7 linked regions of the Oryzias latipes genome follow. The protein of the gene in region 4 interacts with the protein of the main gene of each other region in a pairwise test. Links are inferred from orthologs where the notes say so. Each region holds a gene or a part of one and is shown on either strand. Other genes may lie near its edges.

Region 1 (4,849 bases), on a different chromosome or scaffold from region 4:
AAAATGTCCAGATTTTCCTCTCCCCAACCACTTAGTGGTGGACAGAGCAGTATAAGACAAGGACAGCAAACAATTTTATCAAACCTTTTTAAATTTATTTTTCAAAACGTGTAAATGGGCAAAAATGGGCCTTTAAAAGAGGTCAAAGTAACAAAATTAACTCAAGCTTTGAATTTGACAAAGGATAACTTACTTAAACTGACCTACCTCATTGAAAACACAATGGAACATATATAGTGACTGATCAGACCAACTAGACACACAAGGGGGAACTTAAAAAGACTAAGACAAAATACAGCAAGCAAACTAAACTAATATCCATCCTGTGGTAAATTAACATACACAAATGAATGAAAATAAAGAGCATCAAAATAGAAACTAAAGTAAAGCAACACAAGATAATTTATTGTCCCCTGGCCGATGGTTTAGTGCTGAATATCAGGCCTCTGCTGACTGGCATGCATTCTTGTGTCAGGCCTGGTTCCCTCAGCACTGGTAACTCAAAGCATAACATCAAATTAATGAAGCAAATTATAATAAAGTAAGCTGAAACGTGTTAATCAATTTTATGTTCAAATGTGTGTGTGAAAAAGAAATCTAAAAGTATATGCGAAAAGATATAGTGAACGGATATATGTAGGGTGCGGTGCAGGAGGTTACTGCTCTGATGGGGTGGCAGCGTAGGCAGCCATCACACACTTCCTGCAGCTCCCCTGGGAGAATCCCAAGGCGAGCAGAGAGACGTAGTCCCTCAAACGTGTCCTGGGTCTTTCCCAGGTCTCCGCCCAGTGGGAAATGCCCGGAACACCTCCCCAGGGAGGAGTCCAGGAGACATCTGGATGCTTTTGGTTTTAAGCAGCTTTGAATGGGCTTGGTTGATTTCAACTTGTTAAAAAAATTCTCTTCAAATTGTAAAGCAAAGTGGTTTCAGTGAACAAAAAACCTTTGAAGTACATTTGACTTGAATGATTGACATCAGAGAGGAAAACCATGATCCGTGTTTTACCATCAACATTTAAAGCTCAACACTGTCTAATGTGGTTTTGTAATATCCAAAACATACAATATATAGTGTGTCTCATTCAAAAAAATATGTGTGAGTGAGTGTAAATTAAGCAGTTTTATAATTTTTAGATTCATATTCTTGTTGTTTTTTTTTTGTTTTATAAATTTCACTCACAGATTTCTGCAAAAGCTCCACACCAACCATGAAAAGTTATTAATTTTTAGGCAAAGTTAATAATCTAAATATTTTCATTCATGCAACCAATTTGAGAACAGCTTTTACTTTGAAAGACCTGTCACAGAGGCCATCAGTTCTACAGATTACAGCATCTACTGACTTATTCTGCGTTTACCAGAACAACAGGTTGGTTTTTAGTCTTCCTGAAGGGGCTATTTTTCATTTTTGTTAAATCAAACTCAAGGATTCAGCAGCAACTTTTGACAATATCACCAACCTGAAGGAACACACCGTGTCCGTCATTGACTACATTAAGAAATGTGTGGATGATGTGACAGTGGTCAAGACCGTCAGGAAGAAATCAAATTGCAAACCATGACTAACAGGAGACGTTTGTTCCTTGTTGAGAGCTTGGAACATGGCTTTTAAATAAGGAGATGCAGCAGCGTACAGTCTGGCAAGGACGAACCTGTCACAGGGGATTAGAGGGGCAAAGAAGCTGTACACACAAAAACTGAACAGCCACTTCATGTGTGAGAAAGAGACAATATGCCGGAACAACCGCCCTTTACCCCTTGTGCTATCCCATGGGGTCCAGATGACCCCACCCTTACATTGACGTGTTCTCCCTACCATGACAAAGGTGGATAAAGGCAGAAAGATTTCATGTAATCCATGGACACCAGTCGAGATCACAAATTTAGCGCACTGTCTTGTGGGGTCTAGATGACCCCACTACCAATGTTAAAGTGCCAAGGATAGCACAAGGGTTACCAGAGGAACTGAACAACTTCTACGCATGGTTTGATGTTTACAGCACCATCCAGGCACAGATGCTGCTGCTGTGATCCAGCAACACAGCATTACAGCCATCAACCGCAAAGCGGCTGGCCCGGACAACATCCCTGGACAGGCTCTGAAAGACTGCATGGAGCAATTGAAAGATTTATTCAGCGAGATCTTTAACACATCACTCAGACAGGAATTTATACCCACCTGTCTTTAAACTGCTGTCATTACTCCAGTCCCAAAGATGTCTGATCCAAACGTATTTTGCCCCGTGGCCTTCACACCCATTGTGACCAAATGTCTTGTGCGCTTGGTTCTGAAGCACATCAAGAAGAGTCTTCCAATAAATATGGACCCTTTACAACTTGCATCTTCAGTAAATAGATTTACTGAAGATGCCATCTCCACTGCTCTCCACCTGATCCTGTCACATCTGGAGAGGAAAAACACCTATGCTAGAGTCCTCTTCATCGACTTCAGCTCGGCTTTTAACACCATCATTCCACAGCAACTGGTGGAGAAGCTGAAGGCAATCTGCAATTGGATGCTGAGTTTACTGACAGACGGGCTGCAGACAGTCAAGATCAACACACACATCAAGGCCCATGTCATCGAGCACAGGCACACCACAAGGGTGTGTCCTGAGCCCACTGCTGTTCAGTCTGCTCACGCATGACTGCACAGCTAGGTACAGCACCAACCACATTGTCAAATTTACGGACGGCACAACAGTAATTGGTCTCATAAACGACAATGATGAGTCTGCTTACAGAATGGAGGTGGGGCAGCTAGCAGTGTGGTGTGAATGACATAATCTCCAGATCAATGGTGATCGACTTCAGGGCATCTGGCAATTACCACAACACACATCCGACCATAAATGGTGTTGCTGTGGAGAAGTTCCTGGGGGTGCATCTCACTCCAACTCCACTCCTCCAACTCCAAAATGACCACCAGAAAAGCACAAAAGCCTCCATCCCCTCCAGAGACTCAAGAAGGCAGGAATTCCAACACCTCGCCTCATCACCTTCTACAACGGCACCAATGAAAACGTGTTGACACAGAGCCTTACATGCTGGTTTGGCAGCTGCAAGGTTCAGGACCAACAACCGGTCAGCGAGATTGTTGGAGCCCATACCACCATACGCAGAGTAAGCTTCCTCATTAGGGACCCTCCGCTTCTCTGTCATGGGGTGTTCTTCCTTATGCCATCTGGGAAAAGGTTCAAGAGTATCAGCAGCAGATCCAGCGGGATAGTAAAATCTTCTTTTCACAAGCAGTGAGACTGCTACATAGACTGTCCTCCTCCTGCATACATGCTCTCACAAACTCCACACCGCAATCAGACCCAATAAACTACCCCCACCCTCTGCACCACCCAAAGACACAATATATACTGCTGCTAAATGCAGATACTAACTTTAAGGATTGAATGCTGGTTTCTATTTTTTTGACATTTTATTTTAGTTGATTGCTATTTTATTCTATTTTATTGCTATATTTTCTTTTGCACTGTCATATTAGTGAGGAAAAACATCTGGTCTCACCTGTGTATTCCTCTGCAAATACTATGAGTGAAATAAATGACAATACATTAATCTGGAATTCAAGCATTCAAGGATTTTATTTGGTATTATTTAACCACAGGGTGAATTCAAATTTGTTGATCTGGTCCCAGCCAATTAAAGTGGAAATATGCCAAGTAGAAAACAACAAGAAATGTATATATAAATCCCTTACATCGGTAACATGAGTACAGATCCTATCGAATATTGGATAAATGTAGTATTGTGGCACTTTACTGGGACTTTCACAAAAAGATGCAAGAACAGAAATCAACAATTAAACCACAGCAGGAAAATGACATGTTAATAAAAAAACAATGCAACTTGGTAAGAAGAAAAACAATTGATAAGATGCCAAACAAGAGCTTTAAACTCAGGGTGAAATGAACTAGTGTTGACTTATCAAACACAAACTCACAGCTGGTTCCTGGATACTTCCTTCCTTCCTGGTCCAGGAAATACCAGGAACAAGGACTTTGAGCTAAGAAAAGTAGAGGAGAAGAAAGTCATCTGAGAAAAGAGCTCTGCGAGGTTCACACTCGGAAATCCCAAAATGCCAGGTGATCTAGAATAATCCAGCCTTGATTGGTAAATCTGGAGAATTACACAAACACATTTAAAAAATGTTGCTGCAACTAAAAGGCTCCATTCTTTGGTAATCCCCAGGTTCCGCACAGCGACTCCAAAGTAATCAGGATGTTTGAAATGATGAAGAACTCTGATTTCCTGGCTCCTCACAGCAGGAGTTGATATCAAAACAGAGCAGACGAACGGTCCAATTCTTCAGTGAAAAGGATTGGAGTTTTGGAAAAGTGAGGTAAAAACATTCCACGTTCCAGGATTGAATGCAGACTGGTGCTACAGAGAAAAGGGAAAAACTCAAGGACTTTCCAGTTTGGGTTTACTGGTTGCTCTCCGGAGCTTCTGTCAAAGCTGTCCTGTGATGCAGCAGCAGCTGGTAGTACAACGCCCCCCGGTGGTCTCACGTGGGAAATCTGCCTTTAATCTGCCAGGGGCCATTTTGAAGCAGAGATAACACGTCTGACTGGTGGGAGTCAAGTGTGAGACACAAACAAGGAGGAAGCCAAAACACAGATAGATACACTAAATGATGAAAAAGCCTCCTAACCTGAAATGTATCTTTCCTAAAAATTAGTTTTAAACATTTGAATTGTTCCTGTTTAAACAATTGACTCTTTAATTAAAGTATGCATATAAATGAGAGTTACAGACTATTTTTGCTTCAAAATAGAAAAGCATTAAAAAGGGGAGGAGCAGAAAGTGAATACAACACAATCATTTTTTTTTACTT
Region 2 (4,650 bases), on a different chromosome or scaffold from region 4:
TCAAAATAAATGACCTCCATGGTGGGAACGTGTTACAGTTGGACTGGGAGAAGAGCTCCCCCTTCTGGCCTGATCCTGTTACTGCACTCGGATCTCCTCCAAACAAAGTGGTTCTTCCCAGCTTTGGCTCAAATCTAACTGATGATTGGATCCACAAATCCTGCTGCAAAAGAACCAGATACATCAACCGCTAACTTGAATCCTTTTACAGTTTTTAATATAGTAAATAACTGTTCCTGAGAGACTTGGCTTCATTTGAAGCTTTTGTGTATTTCAGCAGCATCTTCTCCAACCAGATGTGAGTCTGTAGCTTTTTAAAGTTATCTGAAGGACATGATGGTGGATGATGACTGCTAGTTTTTGACATTGAGTCGAATGTAAAGATCCTAAAGGGGGGGGGGGGGGCTTTACTGGCCTCTGGATTTCATCAGAGCTCTGCAGCCTGTGGTGAAGCGGACGCTCTCTGCTCGTTTCAGAGCCTGAAAATGACTCAATCCTTCCTGGGAGTTGTTTTTCCAGAAGGAAAGGCGCCCCTCCCTCAGTGCATGTCCGTCTAACTCTGAACACGCTCTTTAAACCGTCCGACCTCCAGCGACTCCAACCAGGAACGGCGAGCATCGCAGATGCAGATCAGACGTGTGTCTGGCTGCAGGTTCCATTCCTGCACCTCATCCTTTCCCCTCATCTGTTTTCAATAGACCCCACCCCTTCTGTCCATGCAGATGTGCCCTTTAACCAACACTCCAACAAAAAAAGAAACATTTTTATGAGGAAATAAATGTGGATTCAAACTTAAGATGCTGTTGACGTCAACCTAACAGGGAAAATATTGACTCTATGAGGAAAACCTTTTTTTCTTTTATCAGAACAGAAAATAATGTTCACACTTGTAGTGGATCCCAGAGCATAAGCACCACCTTTCACTTTCCAAACCCGGGAGCCTCTGAAATGATTGGCTGTCCAAAAAAAGCAGCTGTACATCATTTATTGCATCCTAAAAACACGTGCTTTCATGATTCTCAGGTCAAACTGTTTTCTAAATGATTTTTATTTTCTAGAAGCTGGAAAAGCAGCTGTTTTGGGTTTATTTAAAAGAAAATCCTGCAGATCTCCAACAGAACCGTCCAAGCAGAGAAATAACTGTTGCTTCACATAAACTGCAGTCACTTCACAGAAAATCAAGAACATTTACCGGGAGGTTTAAGAGTCCGAGTCTGAATCTGAACAAACCTGATCTGCTTGTTTGTTTTCTGCAGAAAATCAAACACCAAGTGTAAAGCACGGTGGTGGTGATGTGATGATCTGGTGTTGCTGTGGAACCCGGATATCTGGATGAATTCATGCCGTTTTTAACTTCATCTGATGTCAGCAAAAGCGTAAACTTTAGTGTTTGCGTACAAAGGTGAGAATTCTCCCGTGAGGTGAAGGTTTTCAGCCATGAAGTCACCTTGGGTCAGGACCTCTGATTGGTTGACGTTTTGCATCCTTTACATACCTTTTTCTGCTTTTCAAAGGAGCCCAAAGAGACTTTAAACTTCCTCCTCTCCCCAAACTGGTTTAAAGAAACTTCTTCAGCTACTCAATCCCTAAAGAACGCTGACGTCACAGCACAACATGGAAACGACCTGAAACACCTGCACGAGGCAGCAAATCACCTGAGACCCAAACGAACTGGCAAAAACAGTCCGATCACGTGATAACATCAAAGACATGACGGCTTTGATGTGGACTCCCGTTCACACGTTTGTCAGACGTTTCCTCTCAGGTTTGGATCATAAAGATCCAGATTCTTCTGCAGTCAGACTCGACCGGGAAACCTTTTCTGTAAAACTTTTCTAATTTTGTCAAGGAGTTCTGACTGAAGAAAGGGTCATCCGTTTCAAAAGTTTTACTTTTTATCACAGACATTCAAAAGGTTAAACTGAAATTCAACAAGAAAATCGCAGACAGCCCCCCCCCTCACCTGGATCCCCGCTGGCATCCATCATCACCTGCCGGCATCGGCCTGCAGCTCCTCCCGCGGAGCAGAAAATCTCAGGCGGGGAAAAAAATCCGCTTTGTGGTGATTTCAAACACGAAAGAGTCCAGCTAAACCTCCACGAAGTCCCGCAACCAACAGATGGAGAGGAAGGAAACATTCCACTTTCCTCCTCTTTTCAAACGCTCAGCTAGAAACGGTCAAAAACCATCCCGTTTCCGGTTGCTACTTCGAAATAAAAGCACAAGTTGAAGCAGGAAGCTCAACAAAATAAAGGTCATCCACTCTTAATCGGACGAAACAAGTACATTTGAAATGTAATCCATTACAATTATTTAAAGTAAATCCCTAATCGGACAGTCTGTAAACTGCACTACACAACACCTGGATTACTTTTATTAACTTTGACGGGAAAAGAACAGCAGAAAACAAATTATTAAATGAAACTGCACAGATTTTACATGTCAAAGGGGGATTCTATGGTCGTGGGTCCTTTACTGCTGACACAAGGAACATGAGAACAGAACCTCAATTCCTGCTGATTCTACACCATGAGAGTCGTGGTACGTTTTCCTCCTCCTGACACGCTCTTCTCTCTGAATTCCAGAGGTTCATGAACCGTCATGGATGAACAGAGTCCTGCTGATGTTTTCACAGTTGGTCCAGCTGGAGGAGCAGCATCAGCTCCAGATATTTTAGGCCATGGAGGCTAAACAGGCAGAAAAAACAAAGTCTAAATGGAGCCTGAGGCCTTCCAAACGCCAAACTAGAGGATTTCAGAAGTCTAACAGAATAAAAGCCTCAGTCCAACTGAAGACGGGGAACTCTGAGCAGAAAAAAGACAACTGCTTCAGAGAGAAATGCTCTGTCTATCACGCCGTGGGATGGACAGGAAACTCTCCAGCATGGATGTTTGTGATGCACTTCCTTTATGGATCAGATTTAGTTTGACTTTTACATCAGTTTGAATATTTTAATCAATATTTTAATTTTACTCATTTGCTGAATTTCTGATTGTTTTTCTTATTTAGAGTCAAAGTTGAGTTTAAAGTTTTGATTTTTGAAAATAAAAATTCTGTTGTTAAAAAATGACTATAAACCAACCAGTGAATGAGATGAAGCAGCAACAACACAGAAATACAAACACAAATGTGACAACAAAGGTCTTTGAAGTATATCTGGTTATCCTCTCAGGCATATTATAATTATTTTCACTCTTTATTTTTCTGCACGTTTGCACTGGAGTCTGCGCCGTTGGTCAAAACGTCACATTTGACAGTAAATAGATGTTGAAACATTCCTCAAAAGTCTAAAGTCTTCTTAGGTCTCTGCCTGCAAGTCTCCAGTTCTCAATCCGTGATCAACAGGAATTAAATAACTGGAATACAGACGAGCTACAAACATTTACCTCATGAAGCAGTAAGATTTACTCTTTAATGTGAAAAGAATTCTGTTATCCTTGTTCAAAAAACAAAAAAGGCATCGAAGGCAGCTGAAAGGTTGAAGCTTTTATTTTGAAGGTCAGCGTTTGGAGTTGCCGTGCACTGAGCTTCTGCCTGAGTCCTGCAGGCTCCTGTTGTTTTTAGCATCGATGCCTCAGTGCTCACGCAGAAAAGAGCTGCTGTTTCACGTCAGAACGCAGATCCACCGGTCAAAGCAAAACCGGTTTCTCTGCTTTTACTGCAGGATCATCAGCTTCAGCGCAGCTGAAACATTTTCATGGTTCTTCAGTCACGCAGAAACCACGTCTGAAACACGGTCAGATGCTGCCCAAAAACAGATTTGAAGTTTCCACCGGAGAAAACGCAGCAGAGATCGAGAAAAAACTTCTGTGAAATAGATTTATTCACTTCCTAAATTATTGTAATAAAATAAAAATAACAGTTCACATATAAAAACAATTCCAATACAGAAAGGATCGTCTACCTATACAAAACGCAAACATTTCATGGGACAATATTTGCAGGTTGGAAGCAATGTTTTCCATGTATGAAACAGAAGACAGCGATGGGAATCCGAAATAATACAAAAGTATTCAGTCAGAAACAGACTTTAAAGGGTTAAAAGGGCCTAAATGAGTTCTTGTTACAACGGATGCAAATGAAAAATTACTCAAAAACGCAAACATGATTACATTTAAACGTTCATGTTTGTTGTCAGAAAGAGGTGAAAGTCGTGGCTAAAATGCTTTGAGTGCAAATGAGAGTTTACAGCTTTTTAACACGCCTGCTTGGATGAGACCTTCATCCCAAAACCTTCAAGATGCAATGAGAGACACGGCAGGAGACAGCTGGAGGTCTGGAATTGAAGTCTTTCAAACAAACTTGCATAAAAATAAAACTACTTTCTATGTACATAGATACACTCCTCCATCATGTGGGATCACATTGTCAGGTTTGGGGAACGTCTGCGGTTCGATTCCGCCTCATGGCGACAGTGGTCGTCCCGTTGTTGTCCCCGGGGAATACGGCGTCCGTTCAGATGAAGCAGAAAACGTTCCGTTTAGAAACTCAGGTTTGAAACAGCAGAAACTCCTTCAGGTCAGAAAAGCCCAGAAGTCGCTGCAGACATGCTTTCATGTGAAGATGCTGGACGCCTGCAAACTCCTTCCAGTCTTCTCTTTGAACAGACAGACGTCTGCATCCCATCTGGAGATGAAGCTCGGAGCCCCA
Region 3 (4,081 bases), on a different chromosome or scaffold from region 4:
GAGTTTCTCTAACCAAACAAAATATAATGATTTAAAGACTCACTGTGATCCTCTTTTTGATCTATTTTTAATTGTGAAAATGCAGTTTTTAGCCAAAATCCATAAACCGTGTGGGTTTTTTTCTAGGACATAGTTTCTGCAGAGCAGCAGTAGTTCAAAGGTTCATTCACCTTTGAGTTGTGGGTGGGACTAGCTTTCAGCCCCTCACCTAACATTTCCGGCGTGACAAAAATGGCGAGCAATATCGGAGCTATCGGGCCGTCCAGTTTGGATCCAGATTCCAGCTCAGACAAGGAAAACGAAGGCGTTCATGGATCTGCAGGTGGATGCATCAGAATGGAGCAGAGCAGGAAGCTTGTAGCCCGCCTGAGACCATCTTTTTCAATCGACATTTTTTCCTCTGCTCCAGCTATTTATATAAAGAAATACTCAAAAATGCATTTTTATGCTTAATTTTCTTTATACATTTTTTTCAACATCAGAAAAATGTCTCCGAAAAGACCAAAAGTACCATTTTCATTGGATTAGATCCTTAAATCTGACGTCATGTTTTATAATAATCCATCAACAGTTACCGCTCAATTTGTATTTTAGTAAAAAGTTCTATAAAAACTTAACAAAACAATAAAAAAATAGAGTTTATTGATGTAAGTTTCCTTCCTGTAGTTGAACACAGTTTGACAGATCCTCTCAGGCAAAGAAGCTCTGAGATCTTCAGGGTTCTTAAACGGGGACCATTAATACCAAAGCAAAGCCTTGTTCTTGTTCTACATTTAAAGTTCAGCATGTGAGGATCTGAGGGTTCTAGATGATCTGTGATGGGCCATTTAGTCTGATACATATGGACTGATCCAAATAAATAAGAACAGGTTTTTTCATTCCTACAGTTTCTTTTATGCAGATGGTCTGTCTGTTTTATGAGCAGCTGCATTCATCAAACACCTGCAGCTCCATTCACAGGTCACCTGAATCCCTCCTGCAGTTACTCATCCTGTAAACAAACCAGAAGAAAGAGATGATGGAGCTTTTCAATAACTTCAGCTGCAGTTTTATGAGACTCTCAGCGTCAGACAGTGGGAGCCCAGAAGAGTCCCTGCTTTTTTTGTTCTTCGGGAACAACTTGAGCTCTATTTATTTGATTTCTTCTTCCAGATTATCTCTCAGTAAAGTTCAGATCTGTACTCCCGCCGTCTGATGATTCCTCATCATAAAAATGGAAATTAAATTCAAACGATAAAGTTTTGAGCCACATCCATTCACACGAGTCAGTAAGAACTGGTGACATAATTTTTTTGTTTCTCATTTTAGAATAATCTTTGTTCATCTTCATTTTACCTGCATTGTGTTACAAAATAATCATAATCATATTCAATCTTCTTAAATGACACTTTGCAGATTTAAAAACTCAATGAATTTGGTTACTAATAAAATAACTAAAAAAAATTTAACTAGATGTTATTAAAAATGATTTGAAAGGAAAAAACACCTATTGTTTAAAAAAAAAAAAAGACCCAGAAATGACAGTGGGGAGAGTCCACGATGCCCTCATCTGCTTGAGCGTTCAGAAGCCTGCAGTTTTAGAAAAACAGCAAGATTGTCTCACGTCAGTCACAAGAAGAAATGCAAAGTTTCTCTGCCTGCTCAGTATTCTGTTATGAGGCACAGATTTGAATGGTGGATGATAGAGACCAGTAAAATGAATCCCAGTATAATCGGCTGTGAATTGTTCAAAACTCGGCTGCTGGCCTTTTAACCACAAAGAAGGAGCACATGACACCAATTTTGAAATGTCTGCACTGGCTCCCTGTCAGATTCTTTCATTAGTCTTAAGGCACTGCTTTTAGTTTATGATCCTCCCGGAGCCCTCAGGTACACGTCTACTGGGGTCAGAACAAAAACCCACGGCGAGGCCTCATTCCAGAACCGTGAGCCTCGCCTGCAGAACAGACGTGAGGGCCTCGACTAATGTGGACAGTTTTTAAGAAAAGCTGTAATCATTTTAGCTGCTATTAAGTAAGTTTTACCTTTTCGTCTGTTGCTGTTGTGCCCTGTCAGCTTTGTTTTGGAATCTTTTATTGATTTCATGGGGCGTTTCTTTTGTTTCAGATGGGTTTGATGTGCATATGTGGTGGATTATTATTTATTCATGATGTAAAAAGCACTTTGAGGTGCTGCTCAACTGGAAATGTGCTCTACAGATAACGTTGAATTTGGAAACATACTGTTGATATGTGCTGAAAATCTCTGAGCAAAAGGCCTTTATGGTTTCATTCCTCCTTAAGTGTTTTATCCCCTACTGAAGTCGGCAGAGGTTCATGGGCGTTTTGTTTCTCCTCAGCAGTTCGCTCCCCCCTGCAGAAGCAGCAGTCGCTGCCCGTGCGTCCCATCATCCCTCTGGTGGCTCGCATCTCTGACCAGAATGCTTCAGGAGCCCCCCCCATGACGGTGCGGGAGAAAAACCGGCTGGACAAATTCAAGCAGCTGCTGGCGAGTCCCAACACTGACCTCGGTACTGCGGCGCCGCAGACACCTCCTTGTAGATCTCAGTCAGCACATCAGGAGTGTCACTTTTGAGTGTTTGAACAGCTGTTGCAGTTTGTCCACCTCTGCTGTGAGGTCTGCAGAGAAAACCCGGAATGACTGAGGTCCTCTCTCCTCCCTCCCTCTCACAGAGGAACTCCGGAAGCATAGCTGGTCTGGAATACCGAGAGAAGTCCGGCCGATCACCTGGAGACTTCTATCTGTAAGGCTCCCAACCTGCAGTGTGCAACGTTTATCAGTCTAAACCTCTCCCCTAACCCATCGGAAACATCATCTTCTTTTTTTCTGCCCTTGACCTTCTTACAGGGATACCTGCCTGCCAACAAGGAGCGCAGAGAGCTGGTGCTCCGCCGAAAGCGGGAGGAATACTTTGGTTTCATTGAGCAGTATTATCACTCCAGAACAGATGAGCACTTTAAAGACACGTACAGACAGGTGAGGCAGAACTTTAGTCCACACAGAAGACAAACCTCTGACCTTCTGGCAATAATCTTTTGGACCCTCTTTCTGTCAGATCCACATCGACATTCCGAGAACCAACCCTCTGATTCCGCTGTTCCAGCAGCCCGCCGTGCAAGAGGTTAGATGTGCGCGAAAGGCCTCTTTGTCTTTAAATGGAAAAGTTCACCGTTTTGTCTCGGCGTGTTTGGGTTCATCTGTTCAGCATCAGTCAGTGGCTCAATCAGCTCAGTGTCAGCTCCCTGCAGCCTCCACCACACCAGTCTGAAAAGACGTCATCCGCAATCTAAAGTGAGACCGGAACAAGAGCAGACTGTGCTTTTTCCTGTTTCACAGCTCGTCTTAAGCAGAAATGACGTGGTGCATGTGGTGACCGCAGAGGAAGAAGCTGCATCTGATACCAAACCTCAGAGGAACTCTGCTGTCAGAGACGATCTGCACTGACCTCAGCTCGTTCCTCAAACGTGGCTTCAAGCTGATCCAAATTTAGATTTGTGAGAAATGATTCAACCTCAGTTTTATCGCAGCACAACTGACATAGTTTGATTTTGTTTTGAAGCAAACATGTTAAACACTTAAAAACAGGAACTTCACCAAAAACATTTGACAAGTATTTTGGTTTATTCAAACTCTCAAACTTCAGGTGAGCAACACATTATGTTCTGATGGAGTCTGTGACTCTGCCCCTCCCACATTGCCATGACAAAAGCAAGACTTGCTGCAAAAGCTGTGGCCCCCTGACCTTCAGGGAGTCCAAGTTTTAGTTTTTTGTGTATTACACCCTTAAAGTTCTGTTTACCCAAACAGTGAAGCAGGTCACACATTTAGCAGAGCTAAAAAAACAACATTTGAACAATTTAAAGCAAAATCAATAAACGTTTGAGTAAATATGGAAGGCCTGTAATACAAACTTTTATTTCTCAGCAAAAAATGGTTCATCATTAGAATGGAACTTCTAAGAAAATGTAGAAAGCCAATTTCCAAAAATGATGATTTCTACTCATCAGAACCAAAACCTTCTAGTTTCTCTAAATTCAACTTTTTTGTGTGTTTTCTGTAAACGCATACAAAACTTAAGTGG
Region 4 (4,574 bases):
ACCGAGTGAGTGTGAGAGGAGGGGGCTGAAGAACGGAGAGGAGCGGAGCACGCGCAGCGACAGAGAGGGGTGTGAGTGCAGCGCGGAGGAGTGTGCGTTAACATTGTGTAGCTTCTCTTGTAGAAGAAACATGCTCCCTCCACAGCTCACTGTGACGTTACTTTCTGTTAGGCAGTTAGCCAATCAGCCCAGTGGAAATTTCAGAATAAAAGCACTTCCATTGCTGCTTTACTTCCGTTGTGAGTTAATGTGTTGTGTTGTGAGTTAATCTGTTGTGAGTTATTGTGTTGTGTTGTGAGTTAATGTGTTGTGTTGTGAGTTATTGTGTTGTGTTGTGAGTTAATGTGTTGTGAGTTAATGTGTTGTGTTATGAGTTAATGTGTTGTGAGTTATTGTGTTGTGTTGTGAGTTAATGTGTTGTGTTGTGAGTTAATGTGTTGTGTTGTGAGTTATTGTGTTGTGTTGTGAGTTAATGTGTTGTGAGTTAATGTGTTGTGTTGTGAGTTATTGTGTTGTGTTGTGAGTTAATGTGTTGTGTTGTGAGTTAATGTGTTGTGTTGTGAGTTATTGTTTTGTGTTGTGAGTTAATGTGTTGTGAGTTAATGTGTTGTGTTATGAGTTAATGTGTTGTGAGTTATTGTGTTGTGTTGTGAGTTAATGTGTTGTGTTGTGAGTTAATGTGTTGTGTTGTGAGTTATTGTGTTGTGTTGTGAGTTAATGTGTTGTGTTGTGAGTTATTGTGTTGTGTTGTGAGTTAATGTGTTGTGAGTTAATGTGTTGTGTTATGAGTTAATGTGTTGAGTTATTGTGTTGTGTTGTGAGTTAATGTGTTGTGTTGTGAGTTAATGTGTTGTGTTGTGAGTTAATGTGTTGTGAGTTATTGTGTTGTGTTGTGAGTTAATGTGTTGTGTGTAAAGTTAATGTGTTGTGTTGTGACCCTTCTGGGCCACCGAAATGTAAAAATAAATGCAAAAAAAGTTTAATGCTAATTCACCCGAAGCTTGTAAGGCAGTTTAAAAAATAGCAAAACACGAAATGACATGTATTTAAAAAAATAAACATGTATTTATAGATAAAATGTACTTGAGCGTGTGTCAGAATTCCAAATTAAAGTTATCGAAATGATGCAAGAAAGAAACCTAAACCTGCCAGAAGGAAAACAGACTTGTGAGCTGGGATCTGAAGCACAGCTACCTGCTGAAGAGTCTTCTCGCAGTGCAGGCAGGCGGTGGAGACCTGCGACAGCAGGATGGTCATGTCCTCCTGCTGCTGCCTCAGCCAGATGAGCCTCTCCCGAACGTGGGCGTCCACCACACTCAGCGCCATCTCCTCCTGCCGACACAGAGTCTCGTGGAGGTCTGAGAAGTAAGCCCGGACGCAGGAGCGCGCGCTCTCTGCTGTGCCGGGAATCTGACGAGAAGGAAAACAAAAAAACAAAAAGAGGTCACGATAGGGGAAACTCTGGAGTCATGGTTTCACACTGATGGATGCGAGGTTTTCTCACATGCTCGGTGTGCGCCATGCCTACGCCATCCTCCACGATCTGTTCTCCTCCTTCTATCTGCTGCACGATGCCCACCAGCTTCCTGGAGTACTCGGACACTTCGTCTGTGAAGCTGCGGATGCAGTGGGCCATGTCCAGGATAGAAGCTCGGATCTGATTGGCCTCAGACTCAAGGAGAGCGTGCTAAAAGAGAAAAATGATACGCATTAGCATTTCAGATCAAGATCCTGACCCTGAAAGGACGCCTTCGCCTACCTTATGTCCCTGGTGCTTGCCATACTCCTTGCAGACGCAGCACATGAGAGGCCCGGACTGACACGCCTCCTCCAGGCACACAAACTCGATAGCATGGACCTGATGCTGGGGGCAGAGCATCTTCTCGTGAGGCTTATCGGCCAGCGGCACGCGGCGGTGTTTGGCCAGCGTGCGAGTGGAGTGGGTGAGCTGGGAGCACTCGCCACACAGGTGGGTGGCGCACACGGTGCAGTACACGGAGGCTGTGTGGCTCTCGTCTTCGTCACACCGTATTATACACTGGATTAAGGGGGGGAGGAATGAGTGCGAAGAGAAGAAACTACAGAGGCAAAGCACAAGTCCCCACCCACCCACTCACTTCTCCCATGCCCTTCAGGGCGTCCTCAGACATTCCTGACTGGTTGGTGGCTCCATTCTGGAGTCGCTCCAGGAGTTCGAGCAGCGCAAAGTTCTTCTTTAGGCCCCAAACCCCCGAATCTCCTGAGCAGACGTGAAGAAAGAAAACGTCTGTTTTAAGAAGAGGTGCCAACACAAAGCTCAACTGTTGCTCTACTGATGAAGATTGCATTCTCAGCGTCTCATGCACAACTCTGCATATGTTAGCTTTACGTGAGTTGCTAACTTATGGAGGCGGTGAGCCGCAGACACATCTGCACTCTGGATCCATTCTGTGGTTCAATGCTGAGGGTTAAGCAGGGGGTTTTTGAACCAAAGACCTTCCTGTCTCAGGGGCGGACACTCTACCGCTAGTCCACTGAGATGGGTGAGGCGCGGTAGCCATAGCAACCCGGACTCACCCAGCTCCGTGACCTGTCTGTCAAAGGGGCAGCGGACCGCCCTGCCGTGCAGGGGCAGCCGGGTCAGGCAGTCGTGGCACACCGTGTGACCGCAGAGCAGCAGGCGGGGGACCTTGTCGCCTTGGAGGGAGAAGACGTCCTCACAAACTCCGCACTCCAGCACCTGAAAAAGGGACGGACACCGAGTGGAAACATTTTTCCACGCTGCAGGAAACAGCTGCTGCTCGTTTCGCCACCAACGCATTAGACTTTTCAGCAAATAAACAATATAAAATGTAATCTGAAGCATTTTTTCTAAATTTATAGCTACTTTAACTTTAAGCTAGTGGCACCTAGCCTTCGCACCTCAAATGTGTCGCAAACACCAAACCAGCCTTTTAAATGCTCTAGAATTAAGCAGGTCTCATTCATTATAGTTAAAAACAGTGTTATAATGAATAAAGAGATGCACGCTGCACTATTTTACACGTTTAACATCCACAGGCTACGCCAACGCAGCGGCTTCTTCTTCTTCATCCTGCTAGCCTCCCTGCCCTCGACTCTGATGCTGCCCCGCCGCAGGAGTCCGACTCTAATCAGAAAATAAAAGTCACGATCAGAACCTTAACGGTGCTTCCGTTCGCCCCCCTCCCGTGTCGAAAGCAGGGCTCCATCGTCACCACGGTGCCCTGCTTGTTTATTCCCGCAGCCGCCATTCTTAGACGACAGTGCAGAGGACCGGGCCAGACCGAGACTACATTTCCCAGCTACTTCCGGTTTCGTCTACTGAGTTTTGTTGTGAACAGGCAGGTGTGAAATCAACTTCCGGTTCCAATTAACACTAATGCGTCCGTTGTTTTCCTTTTCTTAAATTGTAAAAATATTGGATAAAAATAGAAACAAAAAAATGAAATATTTAATAATAACCAATTAAACATAATTAATACATTAACATATTGTAGCGACCTGGGGGTTAGCCCCGCCTTCAGCCCCTAAGGCTCATGGGAAGTGGGGAGCTTAGGTGAAACCTTGAGTCAGAGGGCTGGAAGCTGAAGTTAGGCTCCGTGCTGTTTGGGCTGTATGGTGTGCTAGAATAAACAGGCTTGTTGCATAAAAACTAATATTGCCTCTCTCTACGTTTCTTCCAACTTGAGACTGTAATGTGTCGTACGGTGTATGGGGCACGGACAGCTATCCATTAGAACCTCTTCATGAGCAGTAGGCTTTCGCTACCCCACTAAAGTGACGGTCCGGCCGGATCGTTACAATATAATACATGACTTGTATGTTAATTACCATAAATTATACATGATTAATAATGAACGTTTTCGTTCTTCTAACATCGGATCAATTTCACCTGTATAATACAGCATGTAAAATGTGTATTAAGGATTTATTTATTTTATTAGTTTATTTGACAAGATAACCTTTTGCACATGAAAATGCATCTTTGCAAATTCACCAAAGTTAGCCAAAAGGTTATTTATCATCTGTCGTACCTGGACAGGTAAAACAGTTGTCTCCTAAAAAACAATTTTACCTCAACAACAAAAATACAAAATAAACATAAATGAGAATAAGAACTTTATAACATCCGTAAAAAGGATAAAAATTCAATTTAAAAATAAAAGTGTAATAGAAGGAATTTATAAGCACAAAAGAGATTAAGCTGATATAAGGAGGAGATATAAGGTGTACAAAAACAAATTAACAATGATTATGAGGATGTGTAAAATGGAATACTACTATTACTAGAGACTACATTACCCATCATTCTTCAAGACTAGCTTCTTATCATAACAATGTTTTTGGTGGTTTTTCTCTTCAAACTGAGAAAAGAACAAAATATGACAACAGGCTCCTTTTCAATAAGATTATTAACATTTGTGAATCTTAAAAACTATTTACATAAAGCATACTTAGCCTATTTTACACCTAAGTATTTATGTTACTTGTTTTTCTTTGCCACCGTTTTTGCTATAAGTCTGTATTATGTTATGTTTTTTATATAATTTAATTTTCACTAGTTTTTTTGTATT
Region 5 (4,081 bases), about 4.7 Mb from region 4:
TAAAGGGGAAAGACAACGGTATCACTTCCAAATGAATTTGTCAATCCTATTTCTTTACTTTTCTTAATTTAAAAAAATAAATGAATTTTTTGTGTGCCATCTCAGAGCCGCCTGGTCCCATCGACAATAGTAAAATTTGTGTGATGAAGGGAGGACACATACAGCTGAAGCAAGGTGAACACCAGCACCGATGGATACTGATGTGTGAAAAATGAAGATATAACTTTTTTATTTTTTCTTAATTAGGCGCAGATTATGGTCAGATCTCAGAGGAGACGTGGCAGTACCTTTTGGGCATTTATGGAGGCGGACCAGAGATTGCAGTGAGGCAAACCGTGGCTCCAGCTGACCCCGACAGCCTCCACGGAGAGAGGAAGATTGAAGCAGAGACGAGAGCACTTTGAAATAAATACAGAGGTTGGAAGTTTGTTTTCTGCACGGTTTTAGATGCTCTTACACTGAAATTAAGACACATTTGTGAACTTTTCAAGACATAAATGTAAAACTTTTTATCCATAAAGGCCCTTGAGAAGAAGTTCTTAAGAGGTAGAAAAATGCTTTTACTTTGAACTTTTTTAGGACTTACCTCAAAAGGAAAAAAATACTTAAAATATTTGATTACAAACAGTAATTTGTGCCAAAATCTGCCTCCATAAATCTTTGTGGAGAAGCAAGACAAAGGGACAGCTTTTCCGATTTTCTAAAATTCCATTTAAAGACCCACTCCGATGATAATTTGGTGTTCTTAAGCATGTTTTTGTTAGGAAAATTAGGAAAATTAAAAAATCAATAGGAAAATAAAGGAAAATTAAGATTTAAAATTGCAATTCTGAGACAAAAAATAGCTTAATTGTGACGTAAAAAATACGCTGGCCGGGCCGGAGCCTACCTCCTCCGCTCCATTCTGATGCATCCACACGTACGTCTTGGTTTTCCTCTTCCGAGCTCCAAACTGTGCACCTGGATAGGTCGCACTGCTCACAGAGAGCTCCCTTATTGTTGACAGGAAGTGGGGTAGGATTGCCCCGTGCCAAGGGTCCCGCCCACCCTCAGAGGGTGATTTTCTGATTAACTACTGGTGCTATGCAGTTGTCCTAGAAAACAACACAGGATTTTTTTGTCTTGGCTAAAAATAGCATAATCACATTTGAAGTACCAGAGGGAGCGCTTTTAGAGTAGATCAAATAGTGCGTGGAGTATGTCTTTAATCATAAAGAAATAGAAAGCTTACGGGCAGCCTTGAAAAGGACATGTGTGAATAACACACGCCCTCTAACTCACGTTTACCAGCTCTGCAAGGAGGAATGGAAGTTACTAACTTAGCAGTCAAGACAATTCAGGCAAAAATGACTCCAGAGCAGGTGAAAGTAGAGTAACACACATTTCTCTGAACATCTCCATGTGGAGTGACTTGCATTTGTGAGCTGCTCTGAGCTTCATGTAACCTTGAAGCAAAAACTTTACGACTTTCTGCAGCTCACAAATTCCTTCTTGCCAGCGGAGAGAAATAGTTCTACAGATGTTTCCAAGAAGGGGCCAATAAACAGAGCTGAACTTGTTGAAAGTTGGCTCCTAGTTTTTCATTTTGCGTTATTTGTTTTTTCATCTTTTCAGGTCTTCTGGTTCCTTCTTGATTCCAGCCCTTACATGAAGCTGAGGAATTTGCACCTTGGTGAAGAAGCCGCATTGTGAGCACTTTGTAAATGTAGCAACGTGTTAAGTTGATGCCAGGCTATAAGAGGAGGAACCTTCAAATCCTTCAGTTTGATCTTCAGTGTTTGGGCATTTTGGAAAACAAACCATTACTAAGACGTTGTTGGTAGATGTGGTGTCTCCGTGGCTGCTGTAGTGGCTATACGTCATGTACCGCTTTACTGGTTATGGCAGGCAGACGGCCTCCTGCGTTACGACCCACAATGCTGCAGGGGACTAAACGCTAAAGTTTAGTCAAGACTTTTATCTGCTTTAGTGTAAACGACAGCAACAAGGGTTCATTAACAAGCTTTGTGTTGTATGTCTGTACAAGTTGCTGCAAACGCAGGCGTGAAAGATGTAAACCTGAAATGTGCACTGAACCCTAAAGACTGGAGGTTTATCCGTTTGGTTATGTTTGGCCAGTAAGATAACCATGAGTTTGTCTATTGATGCATGCACGAGACTAAATTTGACCTTTTTTGGGGCTCAGAATGCATGCCCTTGCAATTAAGATAACATTGATAGGATCATTGTGCATAAAAACGATTTATTACTTGAAGTTTTTCCTGCTTTGTTGATGCAAGTGTTACCACTGGATAAGGATTTTCACAGGTATAAAGTCAACGAAAAACATTTTGTTTCAAAGTATTACTGCAAGTGCATTTTAGAAGAGTTTACAGGGTAATCTTTTCCATTTTAGAACATGACTAAAAGTAGTTTTGAGATGACTGCAAAAGAAAAAAAAATGGCATGCAGTGCTTCTTCATTAAATCAAACTACTTCCTTTTTTTTTTTTTTTTACGATTGAACAACTCATTTGACAGAATCTTAACCACTGTGTTGTAAAAAAAAAAAAAAAAAAGGAACCTAAAATACCCAAAAGATATTTAATAATTTGATCTACATTACATGTTTTCTTCTCTTTTCTTTTATTTCCATGTTCTCATACAAGAGCCCCAAATAACACCCAGTCTTCACCTGTAAAAAAAAACATGTGCATGTGTAAATATTGAAATCTTAGTTACATTTTTAAATGTTTTTTCTTCACAGAGGTGGATATCTTTGAGACGAGATTAGGCTTTTCCCACCAAATTCCATTGTCTTGGTGTCAAATCACAGAGACGTGCGTTCTCTTAGACATGGATAACCTTGCAATCATGGATATCGCACAAGAAAAAAAGAAGCACTTTTTTTTGGTTTTGTTTGTTTAAATATAGAAATACTTGTAAAATATTTATTTTATAAATATATATGCGCATATGCATATGCATGCACATTTTCAGTTGACATAAAGTTCACAACTCAAATGACTCTCAGGGTGCAATCTGACCGAAGGTTTACAGTTTTAATGTCACAGGAGGGTTTAAAATGTTTTCATCCCTAAAAAAAATCATATTGGGGTTACTGTCTAAAATGTACAGATGGAAGTATGTAATCATCAAAAACGGCTTGTTACCAGCTAAAACTTGATCAATACTTCAGTTTTAATTTGCTCTTTTTTTTTAAATTTAAGATAAAAGGAGCAGAAGGAAGAAAACGTGTTTTATCTGCCCCTATAACTACATCAACAAAAGTAATTCAGAGTACATTTAAGTCTGTTTTGTTCATTTATTAATAAAATGTACTGCCTTGTTGTTGTTAAATGTAGTTAAAAAATTGTTGTTTTCTTTAAACCATGTTAAATGGAAACTAAATTCACTACAGCACTGGATCCCCTTGGATAAAATCTAAGCCAAGTCAATATAAAGATTAAAAAGACTTAAAAATTGACAAATTACTTTTTTTGGAACTACTAAAAAACCTTAGGTTTATCCTTTTTTGGCTTAAATTTAATAAGCAAAAACATGAAAAAGTCTTGGATTAAGAGAGATCTTAATTAGAATTTAAGATTAATAAGTAAAGGTTGTATTACTTTTTTTCCCCTCCAGGTTCTGCATTACATTTCTCCTTGTAACAAAAGAATGACACCAACAGAAAAGATTTGGATCAATTTGACTACAGGTACTTTCAGGAAATAAAGCTTTACAGATCCAACTATGTAATTATTTTGACTTGTTATTTTACGATAGTGTTTAATTAAATTTAGGTTTTTAAACTGTGATCGTATTGATGAAATTCAGGGCTTTGTACTTCCTCAAATGCAGAATCTGTGAGTCGTTTATAGCTGCACAAAGAAACCGCCTAGAATGTCATTTTATTTTGGAAACCCTGCAAAAAAGACATTTGCAAGAATTATTCAAATTTATTTTGGAAAATAAAAAGCCTTTTAAAATGTATTGACACAACAGCAAATTTAAAAACTTTGCCAGAAATCCATATATTGGGTTGTAATTACTACATTTATGTAATTAATAGCTCTTGTTGTTGTTTGGGGGTATTCTGTTAC
Region 6 (3,621 bases), on a different chromosome or scaffold from region 4:
TCAATGAAACGTCATTACGTTTTTTGCAGGAAGATCGCTTTTTTAATTTAATTTTTGTGTGTATGCGTTTAATACTTCTTTTTAATTTTATGGCTACTCTTAACCACACTTTCTCACCTTTGCATCGATGCAGTATCGACCTCATTAAATAAAAGTTATCTGAATTTTAGAGGATTTATTTTAAAAGCTTCAATCGACACAAACATTGAAACAAACTGTTTCCACTCGCTTCACGTCCTCAACTCGACAACACGCAGCCATTTCTTCAGATTCTTTGCAAAAGCTACGCACCAAACGCGCCTTTAAAACAAAACAGCTGCAGTTGGTTTTAATTTACAGCAGATGCATGGCGCCCGACAGACCGAGCTTGACAAATCTCAAATAGCATCAAAATATTCAGTCTATAGAGAGAAAAAGACTGAAAGAGGAAGAAGAAAAGTTCAGATCGAGTGGAGTGGAGTGAGACCTGCTTTATATTTGGCTGAGCTTATAGCTCTTTGTAAGCGCACTTATTTTGTAAGGTTACTAAGTTTGCTTTTTGCAGACTTGGAACCATTTATTTAACATTTAGTCCTTTTCGTTTAAAGGCTTTACTTTGATTTGATGTGATTTATTGGTTTATTTTAGACTCTCAGACAACAACAGAACTCATTACAGAAATAAAAAAACGTATGAAGATGCCTCCCTCTTTAAAATCTAATTACTCATAATAATATATGGAAATGTTTACTGTAAGGCATAAACACATAGGCCACATTAGATTAATTAAATATGATAATTAGAATATAATTATTAATTATAATTAGTTTGATTTATTGCTTGAGAGGGAAGAAGCGAACTTACAGCTGCGCACCTTTATCTGACCATCAGCGGGTTCAAATGTTTTTATGCTTTTCTGACCTTTTTAGGTTATTTGTTTGATCTTAACCAGAGACAAACTTCAATGTCATTTTAAGCTTTCATTTCAATATGTATCCGTTTGTCTTGTTCTCAATTAGTGTAGTTTAGTTGAATCAAAATGGATTTTGTGATTCAATGAGAAAATCCCCAAAAAAACTCGTTCATCAATACTTATGAAAAAAGTAAGATGTACATTCCAGTGTTAGACGTTGCGACGTTTTCTTTTTACAGATTTAAGGTGAATATTTTTCTTATTATAACATTTTTTTAAAATGTTTTTCTAGAAACTAATATTATTAGGTAAAAATGTATTTTCATAATTGAAAAGGATAAAGTTCAATTTAGAAATATTATAATTCGCCTTCGTTATTTTTTTTTAACATTGTAAAGAAATGTTGGCAACTTTAATAAACCTTTATTTGAACAGATAAAAAATACAATTAAAAATTACAATTACATTTTTATTATTAAAAACCAGAAAATGACGTCCGCCTTTTTAAGTTTATGGTTTTTTATATAATTATTAGTTATGAATATTTTTTTGAACACAAGTGTGGGTTCTTTGATGAAGTGGGAAACCCAAATAATATTTTTTAAAATTTTTATTTAACGTGATATAGTAACAATGGTAACGGCTCTGGTGACACCCCACTGTTTTGCATTGCGCACTAACGCGCACGTGTCTTCCAGGTGTGGTTCAAAAACCGCCGCGCCAAGTGGAGGAAGCGCGAACGGAACCAGCAGATGGACCTGTGCAAGAACAGCTACCTGCCGCAGTTCAGCGGCCTCATGCAGCCCTACGACGACATGTACCCGGCCTACACCTACAACAACTGGACCAACAAGGGCCTCGCGCCGGCGCCGCTCTCCACCAAGAACTTCACCTTCTTTAACTCCATGAGTCCGCTCACCTCGCAGTCCATGTTCTCTGCGCCCAACTCCATCTCCTCCATGACCATGGCCTCCGGGATGGGGCATTCCGCCGTGCCGGGCATGCCCACCCCGGGTCTGAACAACATCAGCAACCTGAACGGGATCGGAACGTCCGGCATCAACTCGGCCATGTCGTCGTCCGCCTGTCCTTACGGGCCTCCCGGCTCCCCGTACAGCGTTTACCGGGACACGTGCAACTCGAGCCTGGCAACTCTCAGACTGAAGTCCAAACAGCATCCGACTTTTGGATACAGCGGCCTGCAGAGCCCTGGCTCCAGCCTGAACGCCTGCCAGTACAACAGCTGACGGGCTTGATGTTACAAACCCGAGGACGCCAACACAATCAAACAGCCCAACTGGATTATTGCAATCATGTTCTGAAAGAAAACAAAGGATCATGCGGGTTACACGTTTACCTGTGAACTTACACAGCAATTCAATTGAAATGTATTGATTTTTTATTATAAGGACTTGTTACATTTGCTGCACTGTACATATGTAAATGTAAATATATATACAGGTCTAATAAGATGATTTTTTTTGCCTTTTTCTTGCTTGTTTTTGCAGACCTTTGTGCAGAGGACTAGACCGAAACAAGAATTTAAAACTAAATGTCGACCTTAAAAGAACCATAGAAAAAAAACACCTTGTGCATATTTGATACTGTCTGCTTTCTGTTTTGTGCACATGCGTGGTTCAAGTATGCGCCTGCGGTTCCCAAATGCTTTCCATTCATCCAGAAACAGAACATGGGGAAAACAAACCCACTTGTTTAAACTGACGTGCTTTGTACAATAATGTAATATTTTGCAAAAACTAATTTGCTTTAAGTGTATTCCAAACATGATTCATGTGTTTACGGTGTTTGTTTGAATAAACTCCAGCTGAAGAGGTTTATTCCAAGAAGCTTTTAGGGGAGTCATTGTTTGGCGCTCTGCTTTTTCCAAAGAACAGGTGCAGAAAATAGCGCAGGAAATCTGTCCAATTAATTTAAAATGATTAAAGTAAAAGAGTCGGACGATTTTTAAAAGATCACAGCTTCTTTGTTTTCTTTTCTAAAGTCTAAAATTCACGTGGTTTGTGGGTTGTTTTTTTTCCAGTTTTTTTTTCACCCACCCTGCAGATATTGGTTTTACGCATTTTGCTCACTGATTGCAGGTCAAAGTAATACGCATTTGTCAGTGTTTAATACAAAATAAAACATGTTGACACGTTTGACTTAAGAAAACATTAAATGTTCTTACTGTTGCATGCGGTTAAAACGTTAAAGTTTATTTCAGACATTTTGACTGAGCCTCAGATTGAACTCGTGGCGCAAAAACCCAGTTGAGTTTCGCACCTGCGCGCTTCGTCTTCAAACGTGTTTTATGGCTCTTTAAGGTCAAAGCACAGACGACTGATTTTTGGATTCAATTGCAATGTTTTAGAAACAAATGTTTTCAACTATTGGAGCAAAATAAAATGCCGGTTTACTGCGAGTCAAACTTGGAATCAGTCGGAAGCATATCTTGTTTTTTGACACTTGCAGGAATCCCCATATCTATATTACTAACCATTAGACTGATATTAGCGGCAGCGCAGCAATAACTGTGTGTTTATGCTGATAGTGACTAGATCCAAATGTAAAGCCCGCGCTTTGATGAACCATTACACAGGATTCTGACAGCACACAGCGCACTTTTGCTGCTTAAGTGTGCGAAAATTGGTGTAAAGAAGCGTTTGAACGTCAATTTTTATTTTTTTATTTTAATTTTAATTATAAAACTTGTCTTTTTATGCATTTCTACA
Region 7 (4,747 bases), on a different chromosome or scaffold from region 4:
GTCATGAGCCCATTCTACGTTTCCCCAGTGACTTATCTGCAATAAGAAAAACAGAGTTCTGAACTCAAGAAAAGAGCATTAAACAACAGATATTCAAAAAACAAATTTGATATAAAATAAACCTAGTTACAATGGGGTTTTTTTTTCCCACTACATAGTTAGATATCATTGTATTAATAGAATAATATCTGTTTCTTAAAACAGACAAAAATCAAACAAAAAAGTCTTAGTATAGTAAATATTATAAAAGATTGATGGTAAATCAAATGGACTTTTCCCACCTGGTATTCTTCCTCCAGTCTGGAGAGCAGCACCGCCTGCTCCACTGTCAGGTATCGGTCAACCATCCCCAGTGAAAGCAAAATAGACTTCAGCTGCGAGATCACAAACTCAAGTCCTGCAAAGAAACAGACACAATTCTTAAACATTTCAAAAACAATAAATACATCATCTCAGCCTGCACAAGTTGAGATCTATAGATGATCACGTTTTCTGGAGTTGAGATGTCTTACCCGTCAGGGACCAGAGGCTGTAAGAATTGAGATGCTGTCGAAAAGTTTCCTTGGTTGCCTGTGGAATTTCAGGACCCAGAATGCTCGATGAAGATCCAATAGTGACATTGTATCTGCCATGCAATAGTACAGAGAAAATGCATAATAATGTATGGTTTACTGAGACAGTTCCTACATCATTTGGAAGTCTACTGCACAAGATGTGAAGATTAATGCTTTTGTTTTATTTTTTTTACCGGTTTTCAATCCAGTGCAGAACCGGATCCCACTCGTTCTTCTGTAGGTCCACTAAACCAGGAGGATCCTCCACTCTGTAACTGAATCAAAGCATAAATAAATCACTGTTTTGTGACAACAAGGTAACTTAATCTGAAAATGAAACTTAAAAAAAAGAGGCAGCCAAATGGCAGATGCTATAAGAGAGCAGCACAGCCTGCTCCACAGTCAGGTATATGGCAACCATCTCCGGTGAAAACAAAACAGACCTTGCTTTCACTTTACTGGCCAGACAATGATGGTCCTATTAAAGAAATTAGGTCAAAGAAAAAGTTTGTTGCATTCATTTTCACAGTAATTCTTTATTTTTAATGCTTTGGAGTCTGGAATCATCTGACAATGGACCGAGAAAAAAAAGTTTCTCCTGCAAATATCTAGTATATGAAATTCATAGAAGTTCCAAAATTCATTTCTTTTATTTTATTTCCATAAACAAAAATGCTAGTTTTCTGCAATAAGCTAAAAACATCTGCTTTCTTTTACAGTGGCATTACAGTTTAGTGCAAAATGCTACATTAGTCAAATAAAGGGAGATAACTAAAAATACACTGCATAATTATTAATAATAATCACAATAACAAAAGGATCAACACAAAAAAACAGTAAAATAAAATTGTTAATTAGCTAAAGAAATTAAGAAAGTGAACGTTGCTAAATCCTAAGCTAATATGCTAAAGTAAATAGAAAATGTAAAAAGATATATAGTGCCAATAAATGTATTACAAATTCACACCTACACAATAAAGTAGCTAAAACATAATAATTGTAAATAAAAGACTGATGCAAATCTGTTTGCTAAAACTACTAAGGTATCCATAAAACAATTAAGCAGACAAGTGTAAAGAAGTTGAATATTTCAGGACCACAATAAAATGTTTAAATTAAATTCTGAATAAGATAATAAGTTTTTTTTAAATATGTGTAAAAAGTTAAAAAGACAAGGGAAATAAATAAATATGTAATATATAAATTTAAAGAACTAAAGGGATTATCTAATACATAGTTGACAGTTAAACAATATATCTCATTATACAAGTATAATTTATAATAATGAAAAAAAAAGTCTAAATTATATTAATAGGTTCGAACATTTTCAAAAAGCTAAAAAGTAATTGCATTTTGACTATTATTTGCAAAAAAAATTGCAAAAAAAGAGCACAGAATGGCAGATAACGTTTTATTTTTTACAAAGAGAAATAGAAAAAAAAAAAAACATATTAGATGTAGTTGCATCTCACAAGTCCAGGATTTGTTTGGGTACTTTTTATCTAAACAAACCTAATTTTGAATTTTCTATTGTTTTGGTATTTCTGTTAGGTGCTTTTATTTTGAAGTCCTTGTTGCTTTTCTCTCTAGATTAAGAACATTTTTTCTCCATTCAAGTAAAATATTGATTTGAAATACAGGTGTTTTATCTTTTAAACTGAGTAACCGGCATAAATGAGCCAAATAATCATCAACTCTGGACAGAAACAGTATAAAAGCTAAATCCATACCAGATCGTGTCAGTCTCCAAAAACTTCAACGCTGAATTGATCATTTGCTCCTTGTTGCGTTGGGTGGGGTTGTCCAGAGCCGTGTTGCACAAAGTGGTCTGCAAGAAAAGTTCAACCGGCATATGAGTACGGCTGGCTACACACTGTGGTGTAAATAGGTCAGAAAAAATATCCCATACAAGGTGCATGGTATAAAACTTGAGTGTCCCCCTCTGAGCATCCCACTCTGTTGCCACGGCGATAGCCAGGGCTTCATTTGGTACTGTGAACAGCTTCCCTCCTGGAGTTTTGAGTTTCCTTCTATCCAGATTTATTTCATACAAACCATCTATGGACAAAATCGTCACAAAATTAGAGAATATAATCAATCTTGGTCTTCCCTGGAACAATAAATAAAATTATTTTAAATTTTAAATAAGACTCACCATCTCCTTGAGATATGCTGACATCTTGATAAAATCTCTTCCTCTCTGTCAAATAGCAAAACATGTAGCACATGATTAGCACACAGCATATTGATAATTAATAATAGTAATGTCAAAATAAACACGTTTACCTGTAGATGCAGTGGAGTATTTTGACAAACACTTGGAGTACTGATGACTGGGACACGACTTGCAAACTGAAATTACATTTCCAAAGGAATTTCGAAGTTGAAAAACACGTCTAAACATATTCATACCTAAATTTGGACGTATACTGTTTACAATAAAAAAGACGATTCACTAGCGATTTCTTAAGCCGGTCTCTCACGCACTAAAGTACCACATTGAACAAACAGATCTTGAGTGTATAATGAACCTGACTCTACAATAAATCTGTTGTTAAACATTAAGGTTTTCATCTAGCTTACAGTAACACATCGGTTCAAAACCACGCGTGTGACCTTCGATGCTACAAAGCTACAAAATGTTTTCATTGCATGCTTTGGGAAATGTAGTTTATTTTTGGCACTGCTAACGCTTACACATCACTTAAAAACTACATCAAAAATGTTCACGAATACTCTTCCGCCTGCTCAGCCAATGAGCGTCGACGATCTTCGAGGGTGAAGTTGTTGGACCAATGAGATAAGCCGTTGCTACTGGTTACAGCGCAGCTTCGAAGTCCACTTTTAGTTCTGGGGAGCTTGATGCTTCGCAAACTGAACTGTGGCGCAATTAAGAGCAATTTGAATGTTTGAGGACCTCCTCGGGACTTTCTTTCTGGCTGGTCGTACAGGTTGACCGAGTCCCGCTGCCGCACGGCCGTTGACCGCGGTTGGAGTTCAGCCTGCGAAGCTGGAGCTATGCCTGTCCCCGCTGGATATCTCAGCGAGTTCCCGGCCGCGGCCTTTGCATCCTCGGCCTCGCTTATCCCGCTGCCGCCGATAAACACTCACCAGCCCGGTGTTGTCACGTCGCTGCTGTACAGCGGCTCCAAGTTCAGAGGCCACCAGAAAAGCAAAGGGAACTCCTACGACGTTGAGGTGGTCTTACAGGTGGGGGGCACCGAGGCGGAAATGTTGCTTTTCGTACTGCGAGCGCGAGGCTTTCGGGTGATGTGTCAAAGTGGCGGCTGGAAGAGTGACAGCTGAAAAAAAAAGGGGGTCCCGGCCTGTCCTGGACCAACTGTGGGTGTAGTGGTGGGAGTAGCAGAGCAACTGCGCCCAAACAACACCGACTAACAACAACCAGCTGCACAATTTTCTACCAGTTTAAATTAACACAAACTATCACAACTAGCTTAAATGTTGCAACATTAGGGGCTGTTGACATTTTTTGAGAAACTGCAGCTTCTGACCGTCAAGTTTTGTTTTTGTTATTTTTTTTAACATAAATTCAGTGGAGATTTGACCTAAAAGTTCTGTTTATTATTTGTTACAGCATGTCACAATGGAGGATTCCTACTTGTGTGGCTATTTGAAAATAAAAGGACTCACAGAGGTCAGTTCTGTTCATATTTAGAGGATTCATGTTGGAATATGTACATGTGGATGAACTGGACTTAGAATTTTAAATGTTTTTGCAAGTTTTTCCTCCACCTTTTGTGTAATTTTTCTTGCAATGACTAAATATTAGTCCAACTGATCGTGAGCCAAATAATTCTACATAGTTTTTTGTTTTGTTCTGCCTCTGAAGTGCAGATATTTTTAATTAAGGGATCGATTTGCTTAGAATATTTTTAAACGTCTTAATTTTCTATTAATGATTTATACATAGCGATAACCTAGCCTTAACGCTGTAAAGTTTACAAAACAAGATTGTTGGTATAATCCAGTTGCACATTTTCGTAGGAATATCCGACCCTGACCACTTTTTTCGCCGGGGAGATCATCAGCAGGAAGAGGCCGTTCCTCACCCGAAAGTGGGATGCAGACGAGGACGTGGATCGTAAGCACTGGGTAAGTAAGACGACACTTTTTCCACGCTCGGCGTCCGCGGCGACGTGGCCGTCTCGCCGTAACTTTATATGCGCTCTCTT

What was found.
Region 1: the proteins of trim23 (region 4) and PHD finger protein 1 interact in binary tests that used the Homo sapiens proteins (3 or more experiments, as listed by UniProt). The two-hybrid records come from large-scale screens. The link is inferred for Oryzias latipes from reciprocal best matches to the Homo sapiens genes TRIM23 and PHF1.
Region 2: the proteins of trim23 (region 4) and arhgef3 interact in binary tests that used the Homo sapiens proteins (3 or more experiments, as listed by UniProt). The link is inferred for Oryzias latipes from reciprocal best matches to the Homo sapiens genes TRIM23 and ARHGEF3.
Region 3: the proteins of trim23 (region 4) and tbc1d22b interact in binary tests that used the Homo sapiens proteins (3 or more experiments, as listed by UniProt). The link is inferred for Oryzias latipes from reciprocal best matches to the Homo sapiens genes TRIM23 and TBC1D22B.
Region 5: the proteins of trim23 (region 4) and usp20 interact in binary tests that used the Homo sapiens proteins (3 or more experiments, as listed by UniProt). The link is inferred for Oryzias latipes from reciprocal best matches to the Homo sapiens genes TRIM23 and USP20.
Region 6: the proteins of trim23 (region 4) and pitx1 interact in binary tests that used the Homo sapiens proteins (3 or more experiments, as listed by UniProt). The link is inferred for Oryzias latipes from reciprocal best matches to the Homo sapiens genes TRIM23 and PITX1.
Region 7: the proteins of trim23 (region 4) and atpaf2 interact in binary tests that used the Homo sapiens proteins (3 or more experiments, as listed by UniProt). The two-hybrid records come from large-scale screens. The link is inferred for Oryzias latipes from reciprocal best matches to the Homo sapiens genes TRIM23 and ATPAF2.

What each region holds. Positions count from the first base shown.
Region 1 is NC_019874.2:28,769,338-28,774,186, forward strand, and holds the start of PHD finger protein 1, read left to right. Parts: upstream 1-1,931; 5' UTR 1,932-4,097; intron 4,098-4,203; 5' UTR 4,204-4,354; intron 4,355-4,849. UniProt on the Homo sapiens protein: Polycomb group (PcG) that specifically binds histone H3 trimethylated at 'Lys-36' (H3K36me3) and recruits the PRC2 complex. Involved in DNA damage response and is recruited at double-strand breaks (DSBs).
Region 2 is NC_019863.2:32,612,512-32,617,161, reverse strand, and holds the start of arhgef3 (rho guanine nucleotide exchange factor 3), read right to left. Parts: upstream 2,889-4,650; 5' UTR 2,002-2,888; coding exon 1,964-2,001; intron 1-1,963. UniProt on the Homo sapiens protein: Acts as a guanine nucleotide exchange factor (GEF) for RhoA and RhoB GTPases.
Region 3 is NC_019865.2:4,882,949-4,887,029, reverse strand, and holds part of tbc1d22b (TBC1 domain family member 22B), read left to right. Parts: intron 1-2,338; coding exon 2,339-2,509; intron 2,510-2,672; coding exon 2,673-2,743; intron 2,744-2,847; coding exon 2,848-2,976; intron 2,977-3,055; coding exon 3,056-3,121; intron 3,122-4,081. UniProt on the Homo sapiens protein: May act as a GTPase-activating protein for Rab family protein(s).
Region 4 is NC_019870.2:3,058,120-3,062,693, forward strand, and holds the start of trim23 (E3 ubiquitin-protein ligase TRIM23), read right to left. Parts: upstream 3,304-4,574; 5' UTR 3,252-3,303; coding exon 3,159-3,251; intron 3,048-3,158; exon of another isoform or gene 3,023-3,047; intron 2,720-3,022; coding exon 2,557-2,719; intron 2,240-2,556; coding exon 2,118-2,239; intron 2,039-2,117; coding exon 1,760-2,038; intron 1,688-1,759; coding exon 1,505-1,687; intron 1,411-1,504; coding exon 1,195-1,410; intron 1-1,194.
Region 5 is NC_019870.2:7,738,540-7,742,620, reverse strand, and holds part of usp20 (ubiquitin carboxyl-terminal hydrolase 20), read left to right. Parts: coding exon 1-18; intron 19-105; coding exon 106-174; intron 175-246; coding exon 247-404; 3' UTR 405-417; intron 418-1,614; 3' UTR 1,615-4,081.
Region 6 is NC_019872.2:3,654,766-3,658,386, forward strand, and holds the end of pitx1 (pituitary homeobox 1), read left to right. Parts: intron 1-1,590; coding exon 1,591-2,139; 3' UTR 2,140-2,864; downstream 2,865-3,621. UniProt on the Homo sapiens protein: Sequence-specific transcription factor that binds gene promoters and activates their transcription. May play a role in the development of anterior structures, and in particular, the brain and facies and in specifying the identity or structure of hindlimb.
Region 7 is NC_019877.2:3,256,290-3,261,036, reverse strand, and holds the start of atpaf2 (ATP synthase mitochondrial F1 complex assembly factor 2), read right to left. Parts: upstream 3,209-4,747; 5' UTR 2,965-3,208; coding exon 2,841-2,964; intron 2,755-2,840; coding exon 2,710-2,754; intron 2,613-2,709; coding exon 2,464-2,612; intron 2,383-2,463; coding exon 2,285-2,382; intron 830-2,284; coding exon 749-829; intron 626-748; coding exon 513-625; intron 398-512; coding exon 282-397; intron 37-281; coding exon 1-36. Other genes in the region: gid4 (glucose-induced degradation protein 4 homolog), read left to right, coding at 3,573-3,764, 4,150-4,209, 4,560-4,667. UniProt on the Homo sapiens protein: Plays a role in the assembly of the F1 component of the mitochondrial ATP synthase (ATPase).